7 linked regions of the Xenopus tropicalis genome follow. The protein of the gene in region 1 binds, or shares a complex with, the protein of each later gene. Links are inferred from orthologs where the notes say so. Each region holds a gene or a part of one and is shown on either strand. Other genes may lie near its edges. The genes, in order: rbl1, lin9, e2f5, arid4a, mybl1, lin52 and mybl2.

Region 1 (3,079 bases):
GCATACATGTTCAATTTGAAAGTGAGTGTATAGTCATCCCAAGTTAACAGCAATACTTTAGCTAGGTATCAAGCCCTGTTTGATCTACATGAGCAATTGAGATGATTACTTTGCTTAAGCCCTCTGCTCTATTATTAAGTGCCCGCACCTGTTGCCAAAGTTGCGCCAGTTTGTCCGGTACTCGGTGGACCACGTCCTCCAAGTCGGATCACCAAAGCTAAGCACAGGTTGTGTGGTCTCTGCAGGTTTTGGAAGTTCTGGCACAGCAGGGAGAGGTCTGCCTTGATCATTTTGAGTTGCGTGGTGACCAAAGTGTGGATCCCGTTAATTGCAGCTAGCAGGCCAGCATTAGAAGGATCGGGAGTTGTGTTTGCGGGTGCGGGCTGTTCAGAAAATGATGGAAGGTGGGTCCGCATCTGCAGCCTTGTGTGCAGTCATTGTAAACTGCGGTAGAAATTCTCATTTTGCTGGATGCTGCTAATCACCATAGAGAGTGCACCCTCAGGCCAGGGATTCTTAAACTTTAGGTTGGGATCATAAAATGGGTCCCCAGGCTGTTTAACATTGGCTGTCCATGACCCCTGCACCCCATTATGGATACTGATTGGTTCATCAGCTGGGCAACAGAGTATGGCAAATAGGCAGATGAGGAATTGTAGTTACAGCTCCTCCACACTTTGTTATTCCAACTGTTTAGGCTTTCAGCCCCACCAAAAGAAGTCAGTACAAGTACCCAGTAATAGTAGGGACCTTTTTATTTTACATATTTACACATAGGCATATTACATATACATTTATATACTATAACCTTCAGCCTACACTATTGTGGTACACCTGCAGCTCCATTTCAGGCAGATGCTTCATTGGTCTGTTGCAAGGATCTGGGGCTGCATAGATTTCATTCCTCCTCTCTTATTTGGTGTACCATATATAATGTAAAAGTCAGAATTGTGAATAGGATGCTTCAAGAAGATTCATCTGAATGGAAGTGACATTGTAATGTACAATAAAACGTTATGTACAGAGATTTAAAAAGGTGCCAGCAAACCATAAAAAGGTGTAGATGCTACACAATTTCATTCAGCTCAAAAAAGCACAGCAAAGATTCACATCAAAGGGTTTCATTTTACGCTAGGAATAAAAAGATAAAATGGCTGCACGCAGATAGAGCAGGAAAAACCCAGCACAGAAAATGCACTGCCAAATATTTCTACTCCTTTTCCCTGGAGTCCGTAAAATGACTGTATAAACACAGCGCAACGCTGGAAAATCCAAGATTTTGTTGCCAGATCTTGATTGAACTCAATCTGTAAGTTCATACATTACAATAAAAAGAATCTCCATTAATGCTTTTGGAGCAAAAAGAACACTTAAAAAGGAACAATAAAAACTGTATGCTGCGCTGCTGAAAGCTAGTGTTCATAAAATTAAAAGTCTATAGTTAAAAAATGTACTCATGAAGCTTTGCTTTGTATCAGTAAAATGCTACTGCAGGTAATGAAATAGAATTCAGTCCACTAGGGGGCGCCTCCACCGGCAGTATTATTACAGCTCACAACATTCAACCCTGATGAACTCAGTAAGCCATATATGTTTCATATAAAGGCAAAACTGAGGAACGATAGACTTTCCTTTATCACAATAGGTTAAAAATATCATGTTAAGAAAAAAATAGATAAAACCATGGAAACGGCAGGGCAGTTGTCCCATCACGACTGACCACGTGGCTAAGGCTTTTGGCCAACTGCAGTGATTGAGATTGCAGACAGTAGCTAGCAAACAGTGTACAATATCATACGTGCAAGAAGAGTCTCCAACACCTAATGGAACTCGGGGGCCCAGTTGGAAGGGTACTGACCCGAGACTTGCCTAAAATGTAGCTTTTTAATGGGCCGGAACCACAGAATGCCAATGGCCAGACTGCAGCTAATGGTTGGCCCTCTCACTCACGACATCCTGCAGGCGTTTCAGCAGAGCATCATCATTTTCCTGGCAGAGCCGCTTTGCCGGGGACTCCGTGTCGCTGTCAATAGCAATGATCCGCTTCCGGCTCCTCTGCTCCTGTTTCAGCATGCTGTTTATGTCCTGCAAGCTCTTCAATAAACAGAATATAATAAGTACAGAGTCCCTTTAATGTCAACCAATGCCACCAATCAAGCTCCCCTTTATTCTACTGTATAACTATAATCGGGATATAAACGTCCCCAGCAAGGGCACAACTTACTTTTGAAGGACTTCCATTAAACTTGTACAGGAGGGCTGTGTGGGGAGTCAGGCTGCCGCTGTTCTTATGGGGAGACACATAGATAGAATGCTGCTGGGATACTCGGCGGGGAGAAATAGCTTGTTGCTTGATGCTGGGAAATGGCGAAAGAGGCGGAGCATCCATCTAAAAAGAAAAAAATCACATCAAATGTATGGCCCATGCTATAAAAAGGAAAAGGACACCTTCACAATAACTTAATATGTTAAAGATAGATCAGTTTAGGTAACTTCATTATGATGATGGATGGCTGGTTGCCAAGGTCACTGACCCTGGCAACCAAACAGCTCAAGACAATTTTATTATTGCTTTTTTTCTAGGTCCTCTATCTGGGTGAAGACACAGGGGGCGATTAGTAATCTGCGTAGTGAAAACTCACGGGTGTTTAGTCGCAGCGACTTCTATTATAACCTATGGCAGAAAAGTCACTGCGATTAGTCACCGCAACAGACTTTTTAAAAAGTTGCGGCAACTAATCGCCCCATGTTTTTTCGCCCTTATACATCTCCCATTTTTATTTCAAGACTGCTCCCTCCTCTCTAGAGTAACTAACCCATAGAAATCATATAATAGATTCAATTGTTAGTTTCATTAACAAGCAATGAGAATAATTCCAAAATCACACAAAAAACAGCAAACAATTCTGCTTTCTACACAATGCTAAACTTAGCAGGACAATAGTCACAACACAAAGGCAAACAAAGCCGCATTAGAATCAGAAATACCAGCAGGATCACACCTTAAACATTAACAACAGGGAGTGATTGGATTATTATTTAATGCCAGTTTTCAGCGCTGTGGCTTAATTCTAATACA
Region 2 (4,893 bases), on another chromosome or scaffold:
AAACCCTGCCCTGGGCAACAAGAGAATCTGTGTCTTTTGCACTGACTGGGAAGGTGGCCCTTACAGTAAGTACTGGGGGCCCCATAGCCCAGTGACTAGGAAGAAGGTGGCCCTTACAGATAGTACTAGGGATAGGCTGAGGGCCCCCCAGTGACTGCCATTAGGGGGAAGGCTGGGGCCCCCCAGTGACTGCCATTAGGGGGGGAAGGCTGGGGCCCCCCAGTGACTGCCATTAGGGGGGGAAGGCTGGGGCCCCCCAGTGACTGCCATTAGGGGGGGAAGGCTGGGGCCCCCCAGTGACTGCCATTAGGGGGGGAAGGCTGGGGCCCCCCAGTGACTGCCATTAGGGGGGGGAAGGCTGGGGCCCCCCAGTGACTGCCATTAGGGGGGGAAGGCTGGGGCCCCCCAGTGACTGCCATTAGGGGGGGAAGGCTGGGGCCCCCCAGTGACTGCCATTAGGGGGGGAAGGCTGGGGCCCCCCAGTGACTGCCATTAGGGGGGGAAGGCTGGGGCCCCCCAGTGACTGCCATTAGGGGGGAAGGCTGGGGCCCCCCAGTGACTGCCATTAGGGGGGAGGCTGGGGCCCCAGGACCCTAGGGGGCTGGGGCCCCCAGTGACTGCCATTAGGGGGGGAAGGCTGGGGCCCCCCAGTGACTGCCATTAGGGGGGGAAGGCTGGGGCCCCCCAGTGACTGCCATTAGGGGGGAAGGCTGGGGCCCCCCAGTGACTGCCATTAGGGGGGGAAGGCTGGGGCCCCCCAGTGACTGCCATTAGGGGGGGAAGGCTGGGGCCCCCCAGTGACTGCCATTAGGGGGGGAAGGCTGGGGGCCCCCCAGTGACTGCCATTAGGGGGGGAAGGCTGGGGCCCCCCAGTGACTGCCATTAGGGGGGGGAAGGCTGGGGCCCCCCAGTGACTGCCATTAGGGGGGGGAAGGCTGGGGCCCCCCAGTGACTGCCATTAGGGGGGGGAAGGCTGGGGCCCCCCAGTGACTGCCATTAGGGGGGGGAAGGCTGGGGCCCCCCAGTGACTGCCATTAGGGGGGGGAAGGCTGGGGCCCCCCAGTGACTGCCATTAGGGGGGGGAAGGCTGGGCCCCCAGTGACTGCCATTAGGGGGGGAAGGCTGGGGCCCCCCAGTGACTGCCATTAGGGGGGGGAAGGCTGGGGCCCCCCAGTGACTGCCATTAGGGGGGGAAGGCTGGGGCCCCCCAGTGACTGCCATTAGGGGGGGGAAGGCTGGGGCCCCCCAGTGACTGCCATTAGGGGGGGAAGGCTGGGGGCCCCCCAGTGACTGCCATTAGGGGGAAGGCTGGGGCCCCCCAGTGACTGCCATTAGGGGGAAGGCTGGGGCCCCCCAGTGGACTGCCATTAGGGGGAAGGCTGGGGCCCCCCAGTGACTGCCATTAGGGGGAAGGCTGGGGCCCCCCAGTGACTGCCATTAGGGGGAAGGCTGGGGCCCCCCAGTGACTGCCATTAGGGGGAAGGCTGGGGCCCCCCAGTGACTGCCATTAGGGGGAAGGCTGGGGCCCCCCAGTGACTGCCATTAGGGGGAAGGCTGGGGCCCCCCAGTGACTGCCATTAGGGGGAAGGCTGGGGCCCCCCAGTGACTGCCATTAGGGGGAAGGCTGGGGCCCCCCAGTGACTGCCATTAGGGGGAAGGCTGGGGCCCCCAGTGACTGCCATTAGGGGGAAGGCTGGGGCCCCCCAGTGACTGCCATTAGGGGGAAGGCTGGGGCCCCCCAGTGACTGCCATTAGGGGGAAGGCTGGGGCCCCCCAGTGACTGCCATTAGGGGGAAGGCTGGGGCCCCCAGTGACTGCCATTAGGGGGAAGGCTGGGGCCCCCCAGTGACTGCCATTAGGGGAAGGCTGGGGCCCCCCAGTGACTGCCATTAGGGGAAGGCTGGGGCCCCCCAGTGACTGCCATTAGGGGAAGGCTGGGGCCCCCCAGTGACTGCCATTAGGGGGGAGGCTGGGGCCCCCCAGTGACTGCCATTAGGGGGAAGGCTGGGCCCCCCAGTGACTGCCATTAGGGGAAGGCTGGGGCCCCCCAGTGACTGCCATTAGGGGAAGGCTGGGGCTCCCCAGTGACTGCCATTAGGGGGAAGGCTGGGGCCCCCCAGTGACTGCCATTAGGGGAAGGCTGGGGCTCCCCAGTGACTGCCATTAGGGGGAAGGCTGGGGCCCCCCAGTGACTGCCATTAGGGGGAAGGCGGGGCCCCCCAGTGACTGCCATTAGGGGGAAGGCTGGGGCCCCCCAGTGACTGCCATTAGGGGAAGGCTGGGCCCCCCAGTGACTGCCATTAGGGGAAGGCTGGGCCCCCCAGTGACTGCCATTAGGGGAAGGCTGGGGCCCCCCAGTGACTGCCATTAGGGGAAGGCTGGGCCCCCCAGTGACTGCCATTAGGGGAAGGCTGGGGCCCCCCAGTGACTGCCATTAGGGGAAGGCTGGGGCTCCCCAGTGACTGCCATTAGGGGGAAGGCTGGGCCCCCCAGTGACTGCCATTAGGGGAAGGCTGGGGCCCCCCAGTGACTGCCATTAGGGGAAGGCTGGGGCTCCCCAGTGACTGCCATTAGGGGGAAGGCTGGGGCCCCCCAGTGACTGCCATTAGGGGGAAGGCTGGGGCCCCCCAGTGACTGCCATTAGGGGGAAGGCTGGGCCCCCCAGTGACTGCCATTAGGGGGAAGGCTGGGGCCCCCCAGTGACTGCCATTAGGGGAAGGCTGGGGGCCCCCCAGTGACTGCCATTAGGGGAAGGCTGGGCCCCCCAGTGACTGCCATTAGGGGAAGGCTGGGGCCCCCCAGTGACTGCCATTAGGGGAAGGCTGGGGCCCCCCAGTGACTGCCATTAGGGGAAGGCTGGGCCCCCCAGTGACTGCCATTAGGGGGAAGGCTGGGGGCCCATAACACAGGGAACCCAGGGGCAGGGATATGAGAGTAAGGGACACACACAGCAGGGCGCTGGGAGAAGACAGGGCTGCTGGGACCGGGGGCCCCTGTATAATAACCACCAGCGAATAGAAGGGCCACTCGCACCCCGAGTTCCCGGCAGCCTGCCCGCTCCCTATGGAGCCTTCACCCCGCTACTGACAGGAGCAGCCCGGCTCTCACCTTCTTCCTCTGCCAGCAGCTCCAGCGGCCGAGCCTCTTCCGCCTCATTCCCGGGCCCGGCGGGGCTCCTGACCGATTTCATGCGCTTCATGGCGGCCTCCCAGGGACTCAAGGGCTGGGGAAGCCTCCGCTCGGTTTGAACTCCCCTCTCTGCGCCGCCATTCGGGCTCCGGATCGCGTTGCTGGGCGAGAACGTGACGTCAGTGACAAACAGTGCGTGCGCGTACCCGCCTCAGGCGCCATTTTGTGCGCGGCCAAGAAATCTTACAGGCGCGCCCCCTTCATAGTAACGGGACGGGGTTGCACCGCCGGGTATAGCGGCTCTCACAGGGGCTTTATGTGGGATGGTGGGACCTGTAGTTCGTTAAAAGTGAGGCTTGAAGCTGTTTCTGGACTACAAGTCCCATCATCCCACAGTGGTTGTGTCCCTGAGAGGGGGCTGTGGGGATTCTGTGGAGCATTATTGCTGGAACGCTACTGGCGCTCTGGTATTTACAGTAAAACTCACATTTACATTCCCCGAGGGGTTCCTTATAATATATAGTGAATAAAGTACCCCCTATTGTAACATATAGGGATATTATAAGCCCCCGAGGAGTTCCTTATAATATATAGTGAATAAAGTGCCCCCTATTGTAACATATAGGGATATTATAAGCCCCCGAGGGGTTCCTTATAATATATAGTGAATAAAGTACCCCCTATTGTAACATATAGGGATATTATAAGCCCCAGAGGAGTTCCTTATAATATATAGTGAATAAAGTACCCCCTATTGTAACATATAGGGATATTATAAGCCCCCGAGGAGTTCCTTATAATATATAGTGAATAAAGTGCCCCCTATTGTAACATATAGGGATATTATAAGCCCCAGAGGAGTTCCTTATAATATATAGTGAATAAAGTACCCCCTATTGTAACATATAGGGATATTATAAGCCCCCGAGGAGTTCCTTATAATATATAGTGAATAAAGTGCCCCCTATTGTAACATATAGGGATATTATAAGCCCCCGAGGAATTCCTTATAATATATAGTGAATAAAGTACCCCCTATTGTAACATATAGGGATATTATAAGCCCCAGAGGAGTTCCTTATAATATATAGTGAATAAAGTGCCCCCTATTGTAACATATAGGGATATTATAAGCCCCCGAGGGGTTCCTTATAATATATAGTGAATAAAGTGCCCCCTATTGTAACATATAGGGATATTATAAGCCCCCGAGGAGTTCCTTATAATATATAGTGAATAAAGTGCCCCCTATTGTAACATATAGGGATATTATAAGTTCGCAAGGGGTTACTTATAATATATAGCGAATAAAGTACCCCCTATTGTAACATATAGGGATATTATTGTACAAGTCATGGAACTCCCAAGGTGACTTCTAATATCCCCATATTTTACCACAGAGGATACTTTTTTTTATTATAATATACAAGTTTTAGTGAGTTGTGGCAGAAATTGCATCACTAAGCTCCCATAGGGAAATTACCAAACGGTATATTATATAATAATACTGCCACAGATGAGCTAGTCAGGTTGTATTTTGCCAGATGTTGGTCAGCAATGGACCCATGAGAGCAACACCTGAGTCAGACACCCCTGATATTCTAACAGCCCTGTACCTTGCCAAACGCACCCACATAGTAGGGCAGGGTGATCAAAGTCAGCCAAACTGTCTGGCTAAATATGTAATAGTGATTGCAAAGTTTAATCCAATAGATACTAGGCCGACGTGCATCGTCGCTACACAGATTTTCACACCTCCCCAAA
Region 3 (4,231 bases), on another chromosome or scaffold:
GCAACAAAGAAGTGAGATTGGTAACATGTAGTTTATTAAAGTCATGGTGATACTTTTTTTGCTACAAAAGGGGCTTTAAAGTGCCCTCCATTCATTACTATAATAACCTCCTGCACACAAAGGTTAGTAATAATGGTCTGACCCACATGCGACAGAAAGTTAGTGGCCCTTGTGGAGTGCAGTCTAATTAAATTCCCAAGGTTCTTTCCAGACAGGAATATTGGCAAACTTTACTAACAAAGTAGATAAATGTAGGCCCCATATATATCTGCTCTTCATGCAAGCTTTCCCTAAGTATATACGGCCTCATCAGACTGCAGTCAGAATCCAGGAAGAGTGCGGATAGTGACATCGCATCTGGTCACAGACTGCAGCAAACAGACAGCAATAGAAGAGCTTAGATACAGCTGGAATAGTCACTCCGACTGCACTGGCATGGAAAAGCACAAGTACATGAGACCCAAACAGCCATTAGTTCTCACTCTCCGATTCAGCCACGTGACAAGAATTACACAGTTCAAAGATAAAAAATTGTGGAAGAATGGAACTGAAAACCGTAAAATGAATGCATTTTCAATTGAAACATAAATTTATGACAATCAAGGATTTAAAAAAAACAAAAAAAAAAGATTAGACTTCATCATTAAACCTGGAATATCATTCTCAGTATATCTACTTTCAAAGTGCAAAAAAATACGACCCTAGCCTATATACATGTATAGTACAAAGATCAACATTATGGATATTTTCCCTGCTAGTAGTAGGGCAGAGAGGTAGAGACTGGGAAAGGAAACCCCCCAAAACTGTGCCTAATAATTTAATATCTGCACATCAAAGAGATCACAGACACCTTCGTTGTCATCCAAATTGAAGCTGTAGTCATCTGGAGTTGGTGAAAGCCGTAACAACGGGAAAACTAGAGGGGGAAAAAAAAAAAAAAAAAAAAGAAGCTTTAAAAAATTTTTTTAAAAGGGATAGTTCACCAATAATTAACTATGATTCCAAGACAATCATCAATAGGTCTTTAGTTTTTGGTCAACTTTGAACTATTTAGTGCTGCAGTTTGGAATTTCAGCAGCTTGTTGCTAGGGTTCAATTTAACCTAGCAACCAGGCAGCGGTTTGAATGAGAGACTGGAAAATGAATAGGATACTGTCGGAATAGAAAGATAAGCAGTGGGGGGAAAAAAAAAAAAAGCAATAAAATTGTAGCCTCTCAAAGAAAGTTTTTTTGGTGCAGGGTCACTGACCCCCCATATGAAAAAAAAAAATAATAAAATGGTAAGAGGCAGAAGAAAAAGTAAATAATTAAAGTAAAACTATTATAGATGAATGTCAACTGAAAAGAGTTGAAGAATGTTATAAATATATATTAATGATAATAGAAAGGATAGAATATACTTAAGTTAATGTAAACTACCCTGTGACCCGTATATCATTCTAGTCAATATACATTCATTAAATTCAGTTGAAGTTATTTGGAAATTGCTATTGAAAGCATCTGGCTTTTGTCTGCACTGCTTCTTTACTCTGCACCCCACTATTACAGGTTCCCAGTATGGCCGCTGGTACGCACAGGGGCAGCATAGCCCATCATACAGCATGAGTGCAGTGAATACTAAACATCTTGTTATTAAAGCAATAAGATAAGTCGGTTTTTTGCCTGGAAACAGGGAAGTTGAAGCTACTACATGTTTGATTCATTTAAAGACAATTAGATTACCAACAACCAACCCCCACCCATAACTTTGTTGTGACCGTTTTGGCTTCCAGATCATCAGAAAAACATTATGCAGGGGTATTTATCTGGACACTGGAATTTGATTTACCTCACAAGGACCAAACACAAAGTAGCTTCATTTTCCCTGTTTAACTAAAGAAACAAAAAGACAAAGCCCTTTTGCAATTAAAACAATAGGCACAAGTATTATTCACATCTCATGTTTGGTGACTAGGAATATTCAGGCATTTTGCCACATGAGGGGGGGAGACAAATCCCACAGGCAAAGCACCCCAATGTGCTATCACCATGCCACAAGTTCTTGGGTACTATAGTTCAAACTATATATGAACTGTAGCCATGTTTGATCCCATAATAGTTCTTTGGTACTGCAGGTATTGCAGAACTGCATCGTGCTACCAGCTCAGCTAGTGGATGAATACGGTGAGTTATATTTCTGTAAAATCTAGGGGTGACAATAGTTACCTTCCTAAATCACACAACCGCAAAAGTGGTAAAGCACCACATTTTATAGAACTAAAGTTACCAGCATCGCCTTCCCACCAATAATGCTGACATTGGTAGAAGTTTAGAAATATTCAAGCCCTAAAGGCAACCTGTGTGAGAACATGGGTGTTACATACCATCAGAAGACATAAGCTCATCAATAAGGTCTCCGCTTATTTGACCTAGGCAACAAAGTACAGTAATGTAAAAGAGCAGATTTATGACAGAAAAAAAAGCTAAACTGAAATTAGAGATATGCTTCTTTGGCTTCATTAATGTTTCAGGCACAGAAAGCTACAACCTGGGCCCTCTTGCCAGAAGTAACGCACAGTATAGAGAGCTTACCTTCCTGCTCATCCATTTTCGTTATATCAAAGGCATTGGGTCTCAGAATACTATTAACATCCAGTGGAAGCAGAGGGGAATAGTCGCTGGAAGCGGCCGAGCTTTGTGCTACATCTGTTCCAAGTGCAGAATACAGAATGGACTCGGGAAGTTCAGGGTAAGAGCTTGATGTGTTCTCCTGCAGATCGCTGGCTGGGCACTCAGGATTTAATTTACCTAAAAAAATCAAATACAGCTCAAAATGACAAGAATGCCATCTCCCATAGACTCCATTTTAAATATTTCTCTGTAATAATAAAAAAGCACCTTGTCCTTGATCCCAACCAAGATAGACAAAACAATCCTACTGGGTTTACTTAATGTGTTATTGATTTTGTTTCAGTAAACTTAAAAGTATGACTATCCAAATTATAAAAAGCTCCATTATCCGGAAAACCCCAGGTTCCAGGATTTGTCTTAGACACAAGATGCAAAACATACCACTATAGTATCCTTTGGCAACCAAACATTTATTTCCAGGGGTGGGTCACCTTTAAGTTAAAGTTATAGTTTTTGAATTATTTGCCTTCCTCCTGCAGGGGTCAGAGTTCCCCAGTTTTCAAATATCCCCTGCAGTCCAAAAACTATTGCTCTGTGAAGCAAAAACGTAATTATTGTTACTTTTTCTGATCTTTTTATTTAGCCCCCTTCTATTTATATTCCACCCTCATTTAAATTATTGCCTGGTTGTTAGGGTAAAAAACTGGAGAGAACCGTTATTTAAGTGAGCATCATCATCTCAAAATCTTGTGTATGAGCCAGAATGGAGGTCTGATGCCCATGATACACACCGTGAGGAGGAAGGGGGAATGAGAGGAGTGCAGTGACATTTAGGAAAGGCAGAATGGAAAGTGAAACTAACTGCCTGTTCCACTACTATGCCTGAGGCACAGGCAGGACAGGCAATATATACAACATCTAAGAAAAAAAAAAAAAAGTATAATGTATTTCATATTTAATTTGAAAGGGACTTTTATTAAGTGCAAGGGAACATGGAGTGCAAATAAACATAACCACACTGCTGTGTTTGCACTCCATGGAAGCAATTAATAGCACAATGTAGGCGCTGTTTGTTGTTTTGATAGGAATGCTTGGCTTGCAGAAACACCACCCCTAATCCCACCCAAGACAGTGGGATGTTCCAGCTACCCAGCCAGCTGGCTGTGCTGTATTGGTTTATTTTGCTTTCCCCCCACCAGGGTCACTTCATTTTCACCAACTGCAAACAAAATGCATTACTCACCTGCAGCTGCCTGCTCTGTCAGGTTACTCTCTTGTTCTTCTTTTACACTGAGAGAGCTACTCTGTGCTGCTGGCTGTTTGTTTGAAGAGGCCGTAGCTTCAGGCTGTGAATTGGGTTGTGTAAGGTCATCCGGTGGAGGAACAGGAAAGACGACAGGCTTGGAGGAGCTGGATTCCTTATTAATCAGAAGTACCTGAATAGGACCTGAATTGCTCTTCAAACTAATCTGGTATTTCTTCTGTCCGTTTTGACCCTAAAAGTTAAAACAACACCCCCCCAAAATGCATTGGTACATTGTATACGAATGCAGTGCTTTATACATGTAAACTTACTTACAGATAAAATTTATGAAATAAAGCCAATCCACAAAAGCTAATA
Region 4 (4,231 bases), on another chromosome or scaffold:
TGAATAGTGTTAAAGTGTTCCTGAGCCTCATTATTCTCTTCAGTTTTTTCCTCTGCAACAATGACAGGCAGTTCTGGGTCACACTCTGTCCGCAATTTCTTGTCAGGAGAAGACTGCTCTAGTGGTTTTCTTTTTAGTCCTTTTTTCTCCTGTGCAAGTTGGTCATTCGGAAGTTCTGCTTCCTTTGGAGTGAACGGCAGCTCCTTACTTTGTAAAGGGGATAATGATGGAAGGTCTAACGTGTCCTCTTCCACATGAGGCTCAACCAATGTATCTTCCTGAGTTGCTGACAAACATTTTGTGTTCTCTACAGAAGAATCTTTTGTTTTACTTCTCCTTCCCTTGGACTTTGGCAGATGTTCTGCCTCCTTTATTTCTTCCAATTCTTCTGTTTGCTTTCCGTAAATCTGAACGATTTGTTCACTTTCCTCCACTTCTTGTTTTAAAGTTTCTGCTGGCTTTGTTGGACTGTGTTCCGGATCTTTTAGAAGACAAATTACTGGCGGCACTTCCTTTACAGGACTGATATCAACTAGGCTTAAAATGTTCTCTGGTTCTTCTTCAGCCTTTGGTAGGACCTCCTCCTCTTTTACTGATGCCTTTTCTGATGTTTCATCAGATTCACTTTCAGATGTGCTTGAGTCTGGGATGGGAAATAATAAACAAGAGTTAGAAGAGGCATGTTAATGATATCTTTTGAAATAAAACTGAATTGTAAAAATGTCTTTGCTGGTAATTCAAAATGTTTAAGGCATATTAATAAATATATTAATAAGGATCAAATTATTCTTCTTAACAGTGCTTAGTCATTCTATAGCTTATAAAAGCTTATAACAACTCCATGTAACATTAATATAAGAATAAATGCATCCGTTTGCATAATAAGGATCAGGCACATTTCTGTTTCATGATCTGTATAGTGTTGCTTTTAGTATGCTTACCATGACATAATCATGTCTGATTGGTCAAAAGATGTGAGCAACGCTATTTTTGTGTGAGCAACATGTTTTTTTTGCTCTAGAGCTTAAGCTACATTTATGGCTATGATTATTTGGATCTTAACTGAAAACAGTAACAGACTACATGTTTCTTAACAAAATGGCAGAATAAGCCACCAAAAATTCAAACTAATTAGAGAAGCCATCATGTTGGTTTAAAAAGTGCAATCATAAAGGTTAAAGGAGCAGTTCAGTATTAAAATGAAACTGGGTAAAATATAAAAGTTTTCAATATAGATAGACATCTGCCTTTATAGATTATATTTTTGCCTAACATAATGGCCAGAGCTCTACTTCCTCCTTTACAGCTTTCTAAGCCGTTAGCAGTCAGTAACCAATCATTGACTTGAGGGGGGCCATAAAGGACATACCTGTTTAGTTAGTTTGCATTTGAATCTGACCTTCATGCTCACAAACTAAATGAACAGTTATGTCCCATGTGGCCCCCCCCTAAAGTCACTGACTAAAGGTGGCCACACACGTGGCGATTTCCGATCTTTCGTGCGACCATCGGTCGGCCACAGATAAGGAGGTAGAAACAATAGGATTTCTACCTCCTTCTGCCGATTCAGCCCTTAAGGCAGATTTTGATCAGGCGCCTTCTAACCTGGCCGATCGGCGAGTCGACCGATATCAGCAGCCTCTTGCGATATCAGTCGACTCGCCATACACATACTGAATATCATACGAAACGGGGTTTCGTACGATATTATCGGTGCGTGTATGGCCAGCTTAAGAGGTTAGAAAGCTGAAAGTAGGAAGTAATGTTCTGGCTAGAATGTTAGACATCTGTCCACTCAAAGATATAGGTTGTTTGTAAATAGCCTATTACTCGAAAGATTAGGCTGTACCCATCTTATAGCTTACCCTCTTCTTTGAGTATTCCAATAAACTCATTAAACTCATAAGCTATTTACTGATTATGGGTCTCATCTAGGATTTTGTTTCTATTCTCAAGTGGGTATTATTCAGCAAAAACAATATCAAAAGAATGTGATATACCGAAAAATAATCAAAGAATGACAACTGGGTGTGCAAGAACTACTAAAATACTATCAAAATATGTGGTAGCTATAAAAGTCATAATGAAAATGCTCTGGTTACCCAATACCCACCATTTGAGCATCTGTCAGAATCATATAATCCAGAGCTCCTCCTTGTTCTTCTCCTGGCTGATCCTATTATACAAAGGAAAATATAATAACTAAGTAAAATGAAAATACATATGAACAAACAGTATACATTTTAAACAATGCTTGTAACCTAAGCCCTTCATTATGACTTTTATTTGCACTACATTTACCTTCTAGCCCATTTGATAATGAGGAGCTATCCGATAAGCTATTTCTCATGTTTTTAACGGATGTCTTGCCCTCGCTAGTCGGAGTTTTTGGCAGACCACAGGTCATATTAGTCTGATGAGCTGACTTTAAAGGAGGACGGCCTCGTTTTGATCGCTTATCATCCTCTTTCTTTTCTTCATTTTCATCTTTATTCTGGCAGGGAAATAATAAATTAAAATAAATAATGTATATAAATTAAAGACTCAGAAAAATCCACAGACAAGATAAACATATTTTCAAAAAGGGGTTGTTCTGGCCCTCTAAAATTTGTATGGTTTATTCCTCACTTTTTAAGCAGAAAGACTCATGGAACATGGTAAATGGTTAATTAAAAAAAAAATTGTTTTGTAATTACTTTTGTTTTTTTCTTTTGCTTTTTCTTTGGTCCACCCTTGTCTGAAGGCCAGATGATTCTGTCAGCTTTTACCCATTCATCATATCTGCAAGAGAGTACATTATCATGCTACTGAAACAAAACTATATGCTGTAGGACATTGCCTCTTAGATAACAAAGTGTAAACATTGAAAGCAAAAGGAATAAGCTAAGCCTAGCTGTGGTTTATAAAACCTCCAAGTATAATATCAGATGGGGTGTATTGACTGCCAGTGTCAAGAGGAATTTTTATTTAGCCTGTGCTTTCCAAAATCTTGTCTGAACAGACTGAATGTGACCCAGTGTTGACAATGGCTCCAGTTCCTTCCTGCTTTCACTTTTTTCGATTCATGTAGTGCTGCTGCACCTATTAACGGAGGGGATTCCTGGCACTACTGGCACCTCCTGACCATGCGGTAGCTCCTGTGTCAATAGGTGCAGTAAGTTGCGCCTTTAGAACAAGGTGCAGGTGTCACTTGCTGATCCCTGCAAATGAGGCCAGACTCCCTTCTGTGCAATTCCATCCAATTTGGAAAATGCATGCACAGTTGCATTAATTCTGGCAAACCAGATGTAACTGCAGTTGCTGTGTAACTGCTGCAAGCACATTGCCCCCTTGCAACTGCAATGTCATTGGAATTCTGGGAAGAAATGGTGCACTGTGGGGAAAAAACAAAGCTACTGCATTTGCGAAGTAAAATGAGCCATACTGAGATTAAGAATTAAAAATTAACACCATTCAAAACGTTTCTCCCAACTGGTTACCTGGGGTTGACAGAAATTAGATGTTTTGACCAAACTGAGTAATAGTTGGCAGCATACAAATAATCAAATTAATACTTTGGTGGGGCACATATGGACAATAAAAAAAGCTACATTCTTCACACTTACCTTACATTCCAGCCATAATAATGAACCAGGTATAATAGCTCTCCTCCATCCACTTCCGTGCTTTTTATATTTGCCTCATAAATTTTCTGAGTTTTCCCACGCCCATACTTCACTTTAACTTTAGTTCCAGCGAGATAGTCTCGATCCTCTGTGTCTTCATCCTCTTCTTCAGTCTCTCCCTTGTGCTCAGAATCCTCTTTTCTATAAAAACAATAAACAAGGCCATCTATCAATCTCATCAATACTGTGCATGAAAACTAACCAGAATGCTGACAAGCAGAAAAGGTTTCTTTCCAAAATAGCTCTACACAAGGAACCAACGATTTTCTTAAATCACTGGGCGAGACTAGACTTTGAGGCCAGTATCATGTATTTTGCTGGTGTCCATAATGGGGCTTTATTGAGTTCTGAATGGCTACAGATTGGTGCACCAACATTTGCATAGTGATATTAATGACTTATTTACCCTTCACATGGTTTTTCATCATCTTCATCAGATTCTCTTTCTGACTCATCTTGCTTTTTGGTTTTCTGATCTCCTTTTGCTCGGCACTGTAAGCTCCTTCGCACAGGAGTGCTTTCATCTTCCTCCTTTTCCTCTGTTTTGTTCAGGTCTTCCTCAATAT
Region 5 (3,458 bases), on another chromosome or scaffold:
AGTTAATGGAGCTCAGCCTAGAAGCCTGTCATGTTGGCCATGCATGTAAAGCAGGCAGAACTGTAAAAGGTCTGGAGCAGCTGCTAAACAAGGAACAATAAGGAAATGGTCACAAACCTGCATGTATATAGACAATGGCCTATACCTGCAAGCATGAAGCGATGCAGGGGGAAAATCTCATCATGTTCCCACACCCTGTAAAATACATTCAAACATCCTATCACATTTCTCAGCCTGAGAAACAAATACTGATACATTCTATCTCAGAAAGACAAAATTCCCTTGTTGGTTACCTAAATTGTAAGTACCCATGTATACATAAATATCAATAACACTAGTATTTTGCTGGGTTCTTATTCACTGTACAGAATTCTATTAGTGCAACTGCTTGACCTTCCTGACAACTAAATGAAGTACCAGACTTTTGGAGACATTGGCCACAAACACACACATAACGAGCATAAAAAAAGTCTTAGTATGAAAATCTATTACAAAAGGATTTGTCGTAATAAATACATAAAGGAGTTGACTGTATCTGTACCTTCTGTAACATTTAAACAAAGGTGGACTTTTTTCATTATTGATTTACTGTAAATATGTAAATGATATCACTTGTCTATCTTTTAAAACTCTTTAAAACAGCTTCAAAAGACATCTTTGATGCTCTTTGAAAAGTAGGAGTAGGTTCCAGAAAGAAGAAAGCTTCTTAGCCTATTTGACAGCCTTTCCCAATAACTTTAAAGTCATTTATGAAAAGATAAGGCAGTTGCTGAACTCTCTGGTTAGGCAAACTCATACATAGCCAGCAAGAGGCTCATATGAAGAAGCTGGCTGACCATAATCACTCTATAAAGTCTTCAAATTATGATCTGTTTTGGTATTAAAAAATCCAAGGAGACAGACTAAAAAGTCAAATACAGCAGAAATCACTCCTATGTGGCACATATAAATCTATATATGTCATTAAAATGTCGTAAATTGTTATAAGTTTTGGTACTGAAGATGCAGAAAAATATACATGTCTTATGTGGCTGTCAGCATGTTGAAAAGAAAAATCCTTATTTTTACAATTAAACAACTCACCTAGAGAACTATGCCTGTAGTGTTCTCACCTAAGCCAGCTAATGAATAAAGACAACATTTTCTGGTTATACTCTAGTTTTGCTCAGGATGGATCTTAACTTCAAATCTACAGAGCCTATAAAAACCTCTAAAGTTTCTTTTTAAAGCAATACTAAATAAAACTTCTATGATATAATACAAAGTTCTACTGTACAATTAATAAGTAAAATATTAACAATTATAGTGCACTGTGTAAAAAAGGGGGCAACTGGCATCACCAGTTATCATCCAACATTCATAAAATTAGGTGCCTTAATCCAGAGCTGGAAGCTTGTTTGTAGGTATCAAGGTATCTCCTTGCTTGCTCTGTCATGATTACTTGGTCTTCTGTCTTCCCATATACAACTGTTTCCCATTCGCAGAGAGGCTGAAAGGCAAATACACAATTGTAAGCAACAAGCAAATACAGTGGTGACTCAGGTGACTTAGGACTGATTAGCTTATACTTCTGTTTATATCCCAGCAGAGGTGTGCATTTCACATTAGAAGATGCTTTAATACATATTTATACATAAAACAATAATGCTGCGATAAACCAGCACTCCAATAAAAATAAAAAATAGCTGCTATTATAAATATAGATTTAAAGTATTGCTATTCAATATTGATCAAGAAATGTGGCACTGTAAGAAATGGAGTACAATCACCATCCTCTGTTGCACTTCTTGGGTCATTATTAAAATGGAAAGAAGCTTATATTTATGCATAACAATGAAGAGCCATTACTGCTTACACACACAGAATTATACGGGTATAGGACCTGGGGTTTTCCAAAAACTTTCTGTAATTTGGATCTTCATACTATTAGATAAAAAATCAAAATCAGATTATACTACAGGTATAGGACCTGTTACCCAGAATGCTCGGGACCTGGGGTCTTCTGGATAATGGGTCTTTCCAGAATCTGGAACTCCATAAGTCTACTAAAACATTATTTTAACATTAAACAAACCCAAATAGGATGATTTTGCCTCCAGTAAGCATTAATTATATCTTAGTTGGGATCAAGTACAAGTTACTGTTTTATTATTACAGGGAAAAAAGAAATCATTTTTAAAAATGTAAATTATTTGATTAAAATTGAGTCTATCGAAGATGGCCTTCCCGGCTGCTTTCTGAATAATGGGTTTCCGGATAACGAATACCATACCTGTATAGTAAATAGTGTATCCCTTATTGTAAATTATATACAGAGTAGTTGGATGACCATAAAAGCATTTTTGTAAATCATAAAACTCATCATATTTTTGTGCAGAGGTAAATTAGCTTTTATAATACATATAATACCTATTTGGTGTACAACATTATTCATTGACATCACCAAGAACTGATTATAACTAATGACATCACTAAAGCAGAGTTTATTAAGATATATTATACAGCTCTGTGTATTATATGTGTATATTATAACATTTGTAGAACCTGTATCCTGTGTATTTCTTGTTTCATACAAACCAAGGATGCAAGCATTCAACTGATCTAAGATCTATTTGCTGTTCAGATGTCAGAGACAGAAGCACTGATATTTCTGCTCAGCCATAAGCTGTTCAGATGTACAATTCCCACTGTGTTTTTCTATAAGGGTTTATATTAGCTATCTGGAATCCCCTTCTAGAAACACCTCTTTTATTCTGCTACATTCAATGGATGGTGACATCATAGCACTCTTTTGTAGCATATGCTTGTATGGGATTCATGCTTTCAGTATAGATTACTGCTTTCAGATTAAAGTCTTCTTGGGACATTATACCCTCTGTCATTAAGAATGACTGAAGGAAATGCAACATACCTGCACAGAACTTTGCACCTTGACATTTCTCATGGCAGGAATGTAATTTTTCCTTTGTGTTACATTTCCTTTTTGAGTTTCAGTGCTCACATTGCACTTTCGGTCTTGTCTCTCCCCCAAAGGTATCATTAGGAAAGACGTAGGAAGTGTATTCCCATTCTGATAATACAAAGGCATTATGGATTGTTGTTTTGTTAACAGCCCGGTAGAAAATAAAGTACCAATGTACATCAACTTGTGAGTTAAACTTGGTCATAAAGTCTGACATACTGGTAGCAAAAAAATGGTAGCAAAAAAAAGAGACTTCTGCACATAATCATCAGTTGAGGGACAAATAAGCATTCCTTTTGCTATGTAACATTGCAAAGGTATCTAAGTGCCCTTGGTAATTTAAATAGTTTTCTGCACCAGTTAGTATTTTTAGATTTTTTGCCAGAAATGTTCTTCTTTTAACTGTCCTGTATTTAGGTTGTAAGTAATTCAACAAACAACCACACTGAATGAAGAAAGCCTTAATTGTTTTGTGTTCTAGTTTGTTTGCCATAAT
Region 6 (4,724 bases), on another chromosome or scaffold:
CCATGGGGGCAGCCATTCAAAAGAAGAAAAGGCACAGGTTATATAGCAGCTAACAGATAAACCCTGTAGAATACAATGGTGTCTTATCTGTTATCTGCTATGTACCCTGTGCCTTTTCTCCTTTTTTCCAGCTTCAATGGCTGCCCCCATGGCTACACAGCAGCTTATTTATATAAACTATAGTAGTGTTCCTGAAGCAAACACCCCAGTTTTACCAGTGCAGGGCCACAGTATGTTATATTTCAATTACTTTAAAACACTTTCATTTTTTGGTGTTACTGTTCCTTTAAATGCCAAAACTATTTTTGAATAGTCAACTAAGTGAAATCTTGTGACTTTGTGACCTTAGCTACTTACTTCCCACTGGTTTTAAAGGGGCAGTGTCACCTCTAGCTCAAAATCAGATCAATAAATAGTATGGTGTTTGTTTATACAAAGCTTATTGGCCCTATTTAAACTCAGTTGATAGCGGTTAAAATAGGTAGATAAAGTAAAAACTAAATAATAATACATAAGTATACTATATTATACATACATTCTATTTATCTTGCTTGTGTTGAAAAAAGTGTAAAGTTCATTTTTTTGTTTTAATCATTGTATTAGTATTCAAGAAAACATACAGGTGAACGTGGAATCTCATTCAAAATAGAGAGATCATAAAAGGTAAGCATTGAAAAGTAAACAATTACAATCTTACATAAAACTAATTGTAATAATATTTAATATATTAAAGTTACTAGAGTTCAAGAAAAAATTTGTGCCAAGTATTATTTTCATGGCTAGGATTACGTATAGTAGGAATCCATTTTAATGATAAAGGATGTCATGTATCTTATCTCTTTCCTTATTTTCCAAGCTTTGCAAATATTTTCCATTTTGATGTAAATTTTAAATGGTGTTTTCAAGCTATCGAATCTGAAATGAATAGTTTCATTTTTACAAAGATTTAGTTCTGCTTAAATGTCAGTGAATGAGGGAGGGGAGGACTCAATCCACTATTTAAATATAACTCTTTTAGCTGCAACCAAAGTCAATTTGATGTAATTCAGAATGTGGAGAATTCCAGTCTTTAGACTTGCCTGTGATTAAGTGCATCTTTAAACAGAGCTCTTTTCCATTTAAAAGTTGGATCTAGGCTACAAACCATCCAGTGTGATATGTAAAAGCATGTACTAACAGCTAAGTAAATAAAGTGTTTGGGTCATATGAACAAATCCATTAGTACAAATGAAAATCTCTATGAATTTCACTCATTAAAGGATGATAAAAGCTAAAATCATTGGCAGGCTCCAATTTGTTAGTCATCCCCCCATGATTATATTTACAGAGCAGAGACCCAAAGCTTGCATTTTTTCTGCAGAGTGTGCCATAACCATTTTTCCCTGCTCTTTCCAAAGCTCCTCTATTGCCCTGGGTAAGCAGAGTCCAGTAATTGTTCAGTGAGTTTTGTACTGTGCACAATGTGAACAACTTCTCTTGTTGATGATTACAATCATGGGGGGTGGCTGACAACTTGGCAACCCCAGTGAATTTTGCTAGCATTGTGTTTTAAGAAGGTATCATGCTTGCAAACCATGCTTACTACTTGCAGAGTATAATTTGAGAAAAAAAATACGTAAAAGCCACACAACAGGTTAAAACTGGTATAATTCCCCTTGTAAACTATAGCTGTGAATGCGTTCAAAGGGAAAAAAACAAGTTAAATTGAGCGTTATCCATTAACTATTGCAAGTAAACTCTCACTCATACCCCACAAAGATCTCAGCACATAGATTTGAGGTAACAAAAACAGTATAGACCTTTGCTCAAACGAAGTAAAATAAAGAGGACATATACTCTTGCTATTCTTTTAAAAGATAAAAAAAATCTTATTTTGGTAGGGTTCTGTTATAAAGTACCTCACTCTTCCTAAACCTGTATGCAGGAGAGTTTATTTCTGCAAGGTTTTACTTCTTCTGCTCTTACTGTATCTTTTTTTCTGTTACCATTTTCAAGTCACTCCCACCTGTAGGTATAGACTGGCTATCTGTGGATCCAGGGGAATGCCAGATGGGCTGCTGTTAGATGCCAGACATTTATTAGCCAGGTGGGGGCTGTTTGGGCATTACACCAAAAGGACATTACACCAAAAGGATCTAGGCTATTCATACAAAACAAGCTAGATTTTAACTTTTCTTGTTGGCAAGGTGTATTCACAAGAATACATTTTCACACACTAGAGTAACCAAGTAGCATTGTGGTAAAGTGGTCGGAATTCTTGCCCTTCTGTGTTAGGGTTCTGGGTTCAACTCACAAAGCTTTTACACAAATTTTTTACATGTATGTTGATAGGAAGAGTTTGGGTTTACGTAGTATACTTTGGGTCATTAGGATTAGGCTAGACTGTATAATACTTTTTTCATGAGCGTGAATATCTCGTATATAATTTTGGGACATTAGGTTTGTGATTATGATAATGTTTAGCTAAAATAAAGCACTCTTTTCTTTAATTGCCTTTAGTAGCTTGATCACTGAGCTATATCCACACTAGGATCTAACAGCTTTACGCATGTGCACTATGCTACATTCGTCTATGAGTAGTAGTATTTAGGTTAATGTCTGTACATTGGCAACATCCCAAATTGTGCAAGTACACCTTCCTACAAACTAGACGAAGCCGAAGGCTTGTACACTTTCCACCTGATGTCAATAGGAAGCCTTATTACATGTGAAAAGTAAAAGAAGGATCAGTTCATTGTCTGCGGCTAATTATTGACATGGCTAGGGATCACCAGAGCAGCACAGAACATCGCAATGCATTCACTGTTATTTTCAAGGTTTAATGATAAACTCCCAGTACTTTCTCGACAGAGTAACCATGCGCAGCGGGAACACACATCGGCTTTACCCTGCTGCTAGAAGCAATTATCGGATACATATATGTAGAATACTTTCCTCTAAGCCCATTAGTGTACCTACAAATTAAAAACAACCGCTTACCATCCGTAACTGCCGCCATTTTCTCACTTGTCACGTGACAGAAATAGACTTAAACATTCCATCTTGGTACACCCAATTTGACGCTCTATACTTAAGCGCCATATTGCTGCACCCACCCATAGCTTACACAAACGTCTATTTTTTAAAGACTAAAGTTAACTTGTACAATAATGTTTTAACCATTAAGGCATGGTGCGATGCACTGCCTTTTTGCTACATCACTTTCCAGACACCAAGAAGGCGTCATGTTCCTACACATTTTGTCGATCGTAAAAATGGCAAATAGCGGTGAAGATCCAAGAGTCATCACGTGACAAATATGAGCCAATCAAGGCACACATAGTAGGGCACCAGTCGGTCAAACCTTGAGTTAGCGCACAATCGGTCACTATTTCTGGCAGGCCAATAGGAAACACTTTTTAAGGGGCCGTGGCATCATCAGCCAATGGCGGGGTAGAGGTGTGGCTTCTTGTCATTCAGTCTCTGAGAAGCTCAGGGATTCTGAAGGAAGCATGATGCGGATCAGAGGAATAGTGAGGGTGAGTGTGGGCTAGTACATTGACATGAGTGAGTGGGGGAGAGAATATCCCCAGGTACCCAAAATAAATGGGTGTTCCCAATAGACGAATGAAACTATATTATGAAGGTGCTATTTTACAAGCAGGGCTACGTTGATATGCGCGGATAAAGGAGGCTGGGATTAAGAGACTGATGGTCGGTAGTGACTCAGTGTTGGGGGTAGTAAATTGGGCCCCTGCATTAGAATTTTGCACCGGAGAGGATGGGTCACTGCCCTTTCTCTAGAGGCCTTCATAGTTCGTGTATTGGTATGCCCAGCCCAGGCCTTGCCAAAAGTCTTGGAAGGAAACTAAGATTCAAGTAGTGAACCAAATAGTGTGAGGATTGATCTGGTATTCCTATTGATTAATATTAATCTGATATACTCCTTTGTTAAGTTTTGGATAATTTACTTTGCAAAATTTGGTGCTTTGTTGGGCTGCATATCATTGCACATGAACACTCCCATGTATATAAGGCGATATATCAGATATTCCCAGTGGGTGCTTAATAATGTTCAGTGCTATGCAGCTTATGCTGAGATCCTAATAAGAAGGTATACTTCAGAAAAATACCTATATGGACTTGCACACTGATTGCCAGCAGTAGGTTATGTGGGCATTGTTGGCAGCTAATGCCTGCTTTGTGCTATATATTAGCATAGGAATGGATAAACTGTTGATTATCTAGGGCATGTGTGAAACACAAGGCCCGCGGGCCGAATCCAGCCCGCCTGGCTGTTTTATGTGGCCGATGGTGACTGTGTCTGAACATGCAGCACCTATCACCTGACATCACTGCTCCAGTCCCAGTGGTGCTGCACGGTCAGGCATGGTTGACCCTCAACTTGGCCTGTGTTTTAGATTTCGGCCCCTTATGTGATTGAGTTTGACACCCATGATCTAGGGCTACCTTTATGGGTGATGATGCCTGCATTCTGGGTAGTGCAACAGGATGAATAATTGGAATACTTTTAAAGGAGAAGAAAAGTTATTTTGGCATTTTACTGCCAACAGATTTGCCACATTATTGCCACATAGAACAATATATTTATTCTGCAGAAAGCTTAAGCATATCTGAGTAAACAGCTTTAGAAGCTTTCTCTGTTTGCTTAAGATATCAGCTGCCATTTTAAGTAGCTTCCTGCCTGCAGTCTAGCCATTATAGCTCAGATCACACATTTCTAA
Region 7 (4,962 bases), about 2.5 Mb from region 1:
AACTCCCAGCGCTGTTACAGTTGTGTAGGGATTCCAGCAAAAAGCTGCATTGCGGATAAAAACCAAATAGGAAAATTGCACTTGCTCACTAAGCTGCGTTTCTATAAGACTTATAAAGCATGGTGAAATGTAAGATTTACACTGAAGGGATGATGGAACTTACAGTAAGGTTACTGGCAATCACCTTCCATTCACTCTGTCCATGCTTCTTCACCAAGGCTTTTAGCGTCTCATCCTAATGAAACAGAACAAAATGGAAACAATAATTAATACCTTACTGGGGGAAACACGGACGGGAGCAATTTTTACGCATGACCTAATACTGGGGAGTGACATCCCTGTACTATTTTATGTAAATAGTATCACCAACATATAAGACCCCCAGAGGATGACAGAGATGTCAGTCACAGTAAGAAGTCCAAAGACCAGCACTGGAGGGACAGAAGGGTTCTCATCCAGCCCTAGGCAAGAGATAAGGACTCTGGATTGTATTGCTCTAGCAATACATCTAATTGCATACTGTACCTCTTCTGGGGTCCACTTCACTTTGACCCTGCTTTCCTTTGGCTCCGGGACATCAGAGTCTGTGTCCTGATATTGCAAATCCTCAAGATCATCTCTGTATGGGTTAAAGAAAAAATTATTATTAGTATTTAGTCAACATGCAACAGTGTCCCAGAAATAAGCACAGGTTCAGCATATGGAAAGAGGCAGCATTACTCAAAGCACCCAGGGAATAGGGTGTCTGTTAATCTAGCAAAACAAGGATTAAAAAAAAAAAAAAAAAAAACCAGGGTGCCATGAGGGTGGCCACTACTCCAAATGCGAAGGTCGAACTTTCCAGCAACCCCTCTCCAGCTTGCTTTTGGAGATATCACATAGGGGCTGGGTCAACTAGAAAGGGGGGTGGGGTGGAATTCAGCTTGGGAAAGCAAAGGATCCTACATGTGGCACATAGCTGGGACAGAACACAAGGTTACAGGCAGAAACATGAACAAAAAAAAAAAAAAAAAAAAAAGAGAAAACTGTGCACTAGGGAAGTCATCCTTGGGTTTTACTTAAGCGTCTGATAAGTGCATTATATTTCTGTAAATGCAGTCAATGTAGGTGGGTTGCAAAGGGGAGAAGTGTGAAGGTGGGGGAGGGAGTTGTAATCAGCATGACATCCTGAGGCACCTTTACACAAAAAGTGTAGTGTTCCTAGATATACAAGAAAGAAATTACTAAGAATCTAAGGAAATATGGCCGACAAAAACTTCTTTCTCTTTAAGAAGGGTTATAAATGAGGAGCAGAGACAGGCAAACAAGCACAGGGAGGCTGCAGAACGTGGCGCTCAGCTGGAATGGAGCACTGAGAGAGCAGGGACAAACCCAGCTGGAGAGTCACAAGTTAACCTCCTGGCGCAATAAGACAAAAGCCAAAACAAAAGGGGTCGTTGGGGGCCAGCTGTGCACAAACATAGCATTACTGAAGGTCTGAGAAGTACTGGGAAATGTGGGAAGCACAGGGAGAGAAATATGGGGTAGTAGGGCAGATATGCATGCCCTGAAGTGTATGGAAAGCCAAAGGAAAACTCTCAGAGGGAGGACAGTGGAAGCTTCATAGGAAAGTGCAAATGGGGGTGGGGGAGAGCGGACAATGGGGCAATGCACGGAAGCCCACTCGGGGTGGACATGGAAAGTCCTTATGGGGAGACAGAACAAGGGAAGTAAAGAGAAGGCTAGAAAGATAATAGACAAAAACAAGGGTTGGCAATACTAGCTGGGGAGAGAGCTGAGGGGGCAACAGTGATGGGCAGCTGGGGAGAGAGGTGAGGGGTGACAGTGATGGGCAGCTGGGGGAGTACAGGGAAGGGCAGACTGGGGAGAGAGCTGGGGGGTAGAGGGAAGGGCAGACTGGGGAGAGAGCTGAGGGGGTAGAGGGAAGGGGAGACCGGGGAAAGAGCTGAGGGGGTACAGGGAAGGGGAGACCGGGGAAAGAGCTGAGGGGGTACAGGGAAGGGGAGACCGGGGAGAGAGCTGGGGGGTAGAGGGAAGGGCAGACTGGGGAGAGAGCTGGGGGGTAGAGGGAAGGGCAGACTGGGGAGAGAGCTGGGGGGTAGAGGGAAGGGCAGACTGGGGAGAGAGCTGGGGGGTAGAGGGAAGGGCAGACTGGGGAGAGAGCTGAGGGGGTAGAGGGAAGGGGAGACTGGGGAGAGAGCTGGGGGGTAGAGGGAAGGGCAGACTGGGGAGAGAGCTGGGGGGTAGAGGGAAGGGGAGACTGGGGAGAGAGCAAAGAGCCCAGCTGTGGAGAGAGAAGCAGTAGAATAGTTTAGCTATAGTTTAGGCATGTGGAACCGACAGAGAAGCCCAACTAGACAGGAAAGTCCAGAATGGGGGAAGTTAGTAAATCCAGAGAAGGCCAATAGGTGAGAGCCCGGCAAGGCCAGGGCAGAGGCAAGGCCAGGGCAGAGGCAAGGCCAGGGCAGAGGCAAGGCCAGGGCAGAGGCAAGGCCAGGGCAGAGGCAAGGCCAGGGCAGAGGCCAGGGCAGGGGCAAGGCCAGGGCAGGTGCCAGGGCAGAGGCAAGGCCAGGGCAGAGGCAAGGCCAGGGCAGAGGCAAGGCCAGGGCAGAGGCAAGGCCAGGGTAAGGGCGATAACACAGGGCAGGGAGGAGGCGCAGAACTGAAAGCGCAAAGCAGACGCCCAGTGACTGGCACCTACTCAAAAGTAGTAAGAAAAGGCCGCCGGGTTCTAAAGTAGTAGCTGTGCCCGTATGTGCAGCCCCACTGCCCCACCCGTTAGTGCCAGGCTCACCCGCGGGCCCGCCGGGACATCCTGCCGCTCCGGACACTTCAGTGCGCAGTCTGTGGCGGTATTGTTATTTCCTATCTCCCGCCAGCTGCGCACGCACCCACAGAACTCCCTTTCCGGGGCGGAACCCACTCCCTGGGCGGGGCCTACAGCCCATACGGAGGCGCTCTAGGTGCCTGTCACTTCTATATGTGGGGAGGGCCATGCGTCCGGTTTTAACCAATGAACAGCAAGCGCACTGATGTCAGCGATTTCCCGGCGACCAATCAAAGCTAGAAATGAGGGACAGCTTCTGGCGCCTATTACGTTTTGTAACAACCCGAGTGACAGAGGATTCTAAAAATTTCCAGACTAGACAGTCATTTCCTCTTAGTTTTGGCGACGGTAGCGTTAAGCCATGCATTTTAAGTGGGGTTTACGCTGACATCACCACCTCAGATTTGCTATGAGTGTATAGGTTTTTGAACATTAAATTTGAACTGCTGCCTGGTTACTAGAATGGGAGTTCCCTAGCAACAAACATAGAAGTATAATAATAATAATGAAATGGAACCTTCACAGTCAGTCTGTTTTTCAGTTACCTAGGTAACCTTGACAACTAAGCAATTGCAGGCTGGAAAAAAAATAGAATGGAAATATAAATAAAACAAAAAAAACCTGAAATGTTTATTAGGTACTTCTACAGGACTGCCATTGGCTGGCTACAAGTGGTATTGCTGAGGGGGGGTGGGGTATGTGCTCAAATATAACCTCTCCTGAACCCAGTCTGAGCAGCATGGCTTAGGAGTGACTGCCCAGTAGTGGAAAGAACCCTCAGTAAAGGCAGAAATTATATCACTTTCCCTTCCACCCTCTGCAACTGGGAACAGGGGGAGCAAAATGGAACTTCTATATGAGAGAGAAGACTGGGGGAAACCATAACTGAGATGGAGGAAGGTTATAAAGTAGACAGTGAAGATAAATGGAGAGGTGTTAGGTTAGGAAGACGTTATGGGGGTACAGCAGGGATGTCTCTATAACAAATACAAATTTAATGTAACAGTTAACATTCCCTTGAAACATGGCTCTCACATTCCTCAGTATCCAGCATCCCTATGAGCTGGTCTGGCCTAACAACTACAAGTGAGGAATGGGATAATTGGATAATGGGTGGGGTCACAAGGCGAGATTGATTGGCTACTTAACCTCCTAAAACACTATATAAAAGGCTACTTGCCTGGAAGCCAGAATAAATCATTTAGAGGAAATCTATCAGGGAAGGTAAGTGGCTGCACAAAGGGAATCAAGTTGGTGGTGTGTCGCGTAATTGTTACTAGGGCTTAGTACAAACCCATATTGTGTTGCTGTGTGAAGGTGCTGGCATGTTTAGTAATTTAACCATTTTGTTGGCCAGGTGATTAACAGAGACATAGATAGGTGCTGAGATGCTTGCCATTCATTTGAATGCCAGTTGGCTGTTGTATGCACAAATGGCTTTGGAAGCTGAGATGTTTTATATGTTTTCCTTTGTCTGTTTTGGGTAAACTTTGTTGTTCTTTGTTTAATATGTTGGAGGCAAAAATACATGTTGGAATATTTGACTTTCATCAAGCAATATGCTGTTTGAGGGGACCAGGACTGGGATACAAAATATGTTCCAAGTACATAGAGACCCAAACAGCCCCCTTATGGCATCTTACAGCAGCCCCACATTTGTCTGGATCTACAAATTACCAGTCTGCGCCTGGACTGGCCTGTGACTTCCCAATAGTAAAACTACTACAACAACATAGACTTACTCACATTCCCTGTTCTGCAACCCTACAACAGGCATCCCTTGCAACATTTCCCATTTAAAGAATAGTAACAACCTGCTACACCTGCAGTGATTTTTCACACTTGGGAGTATTGTGTGTTGTTATCCTAACTGCCCTAAGCCAATTCTAACTAATTGAATGCTGTGGGATAGTTGGCAAAGCCCTACAGGGAGTGCTTATATACAAATCTCTTAATCATATGTCCTTTTTAGAGGTGTATAATAGTGGGATTACTGGAGCCTGGTTCCTTCTGGCTTCCAACTGTTATCCCAGCCTACTATCCGTAATAAATATTACAATAACTCTCCAGACCTAATCTATTAGACTTGGCTTTCCTGCTATTGTTAGTTTGCCCTTGATTGCTACTCATTAGAT

The links.
Region 2: rbl1 (region 1) and lin9 share a complex: the UniProt entries of both Homo sapiens proteins name them as parts of the DREAM complex. The link is inferred for Xenopus tropicalis from reciprocal best matches to the Homo sapiens genes RBL1 and LIN9.
Region 3: the proteins of rbl1 (region 1) and e2f5 are in contact, whole or in part, in a crystal structure (PDB 5TUV), measured with the Homo sapiens proteins. The link is inferred for Xenopus tropicalis from reciprocal best matches to the Homo sapiens genes RBL1 and E2F5. Residues at the interface, in NP_002886.2 of Homo sapiens: Ser1000, Ala1001, Leu1002, Leu1003, Tyr1004, Lys1005, Phe1006, Asn1007, Ile1017, Met1020, Ile1021, Gly1024, Glu1025; in NP_001942.2 of Homo sapiens: Met162, Ile190, Ala192, Pro193, Ser194, Gly195, Thr196, Gln197, Leu198, Glu199, Val200, Pro201, Ile202, Pro203, Glu204, Met205, Tyr213, Leu217.
Region 4: the proteins of rbl1 (region 1) and arid4a are in contact, whole or in part, in a crystal structure (PDB 7SMC), measured with the Homo sapiens proteins. The link is inferred for Xenopus tropicalis from reciprocal best matches to the Homo sapiens genes RBL1 and ARID4A. Residues at the interface, in NP_002886.2 of Homo sapiens: Tyr849, Ile850, Lys853, Val854, Thr860, Phe861, Gln862, Met865, Lys866, Arg869, Tyr879, Arg880, Asp929, Leu930, Ile931, Tyr934, Asn935, Val939, Ala946, Leu947; in NP_002883.3 of Homo sapiens: Leu957, Val958, Cys959, His960, Glu961, Val962, Asp963, Leu964, Asp965, Asp966, Leu967.
Region 5: rbl1 (region 1) and mybl1 share a complex: the UniProt entries of both Homo sapiens proteins name them as parts of the DREAM complex. The link is inferred for Xenopus tropicalis from reciprocal best matches to the Homo sapiens genes RBL1 and MYBL1.
Region 6: rbl1 (region 1) and lin52 share a complex: the UniProt entries of both Homo sapiens proteins name them as parts of the DREAM complex. The link is inferred for Xenopus tropicalis from reciprocal best matches to the Homo sapiens genes RBL1 and LIN52.
Region 7: rbl1 (region 1) and mybl2 share a complex: the UniProt entries of both Homo sapiens proteins name them as parts of the DREAM complex. The link is inferred for Xenopus tropicalis from reciprocal best matches to the Homo sapiens genes RBL1 and MYBL2.

The regions. Positions count from the first base shown.
Region 1 is NC_030686.2:42,375,246-42,378,324, reverse strand, and holds the end of rbl1 (retinoblastoma-like protein 1), read right to left. Parts: intron 2,390-3,079; coding exon 2,225-2,389; intron 2,095-2,224; coding exon 1,927-2,094; 3' UTR 738-1,926; downstream 1-737. UniProt on the Homo sapiens protein: Key regulator of entry into cell division. Directly involved in heterochromatin formation by maintaining overall chromatin structure and, in particular, that of constitutive heterochromatin by stabilizing histone methylation.
Region 2 is NC_030681.2:8,015,261-8,020,153, reverse strand, and holds the start of lin9 (protein lin-9 homolog), read right to left. Parts: upstream 3,387-4,893; 5' UTR 3,200-3,386; coding exon 3,109-3,199; intron 1-3,108. UniProt on the Homo sapiens protein: Acts as a tumor suppressor. Inhibits DNA synthesis. Its ability to inhibit oncogenic transformation is mediated through its association with RB1. Plays a role in the expression of genes required for the G1/S transition.
Region 3 is NC_030682.2:125,177,683-125,181,913, reverse strand, and holds part of e2f5 (transcription factor E2F5), read right to left. Parts: intron 4,107-4,231; coding exon 3,854-4,106; intron 2,788-3,853; coding exon 2,572-2,787; intron 2,409-2,571; coding exon 2,364-2,408; intron 917-2,363; coding exon 810-916; 3' UTR 1-809.
Region 4 is NC_030684.2:103,522,240-103,526,470, forward strand, and holds part of arid4a (AT-rich interactive domain-containing protein 4A), read right to left. Parts: coding exon 4,072-4,231; intron 3,807-4,071; coding exon 3,606-3,806; intron 2,782-3,605; coding exon 2,697-2,781; intron 2,495-2,696; coding exon 2,302-2,494; intron 2,177-2,301; coding exon 2,114-2,176; intron 644-2,113; coding exon 1-643.
Region 5 is NC_030682.2:118,972,257-118,975,714, forward strand, and holds part of mybl1 (myb-related protein A), read right to left. Parts: intron 3,071-3,458; coding exon 2,912-3,070; intron 1,490-2,911; coding exon 1,358-1,489; 3' UTR 1-1,357. UniProt on the Homo sapiens protein: Transcription factor that specifically recognizes the sequence 5'-YAAC[GT]G-3'.
Region 6 is NC_030684.2:81,968,892-81,973,615, reverse strand, and holds the start of lin52 (protein lin-52 homolog), read right to left. Parts: upstream 3,014-4,724; 5' UTR 2,999-3,013; coding exon 2,980-2,998; intron 1-2,979. Other genes in the region: aldh6a1 (methylmalonate-semialdehyde dehydrogenase [acylating], mitochondrial), read left to right, coding at 3,492-3,518.
Region 7 is NC_030686.2:39,923,685-39,928,646, reverse strand, and holds the start of mybl2 (myb-related protein B), read right to left. Parts: upstream 2,956-4,962; 5' UTR 2,815-2,955; coding exon 2,795-2,814; intron 620-2,794; coding exon 526-619; intron 236-525; coding exon 164-235; intron 1-163. UniProt on the Homo sapiens protein: Transcription factor involved in the regulation of cell survival, proliferation, and differentiation. Transactivates the expression of the CLU gene.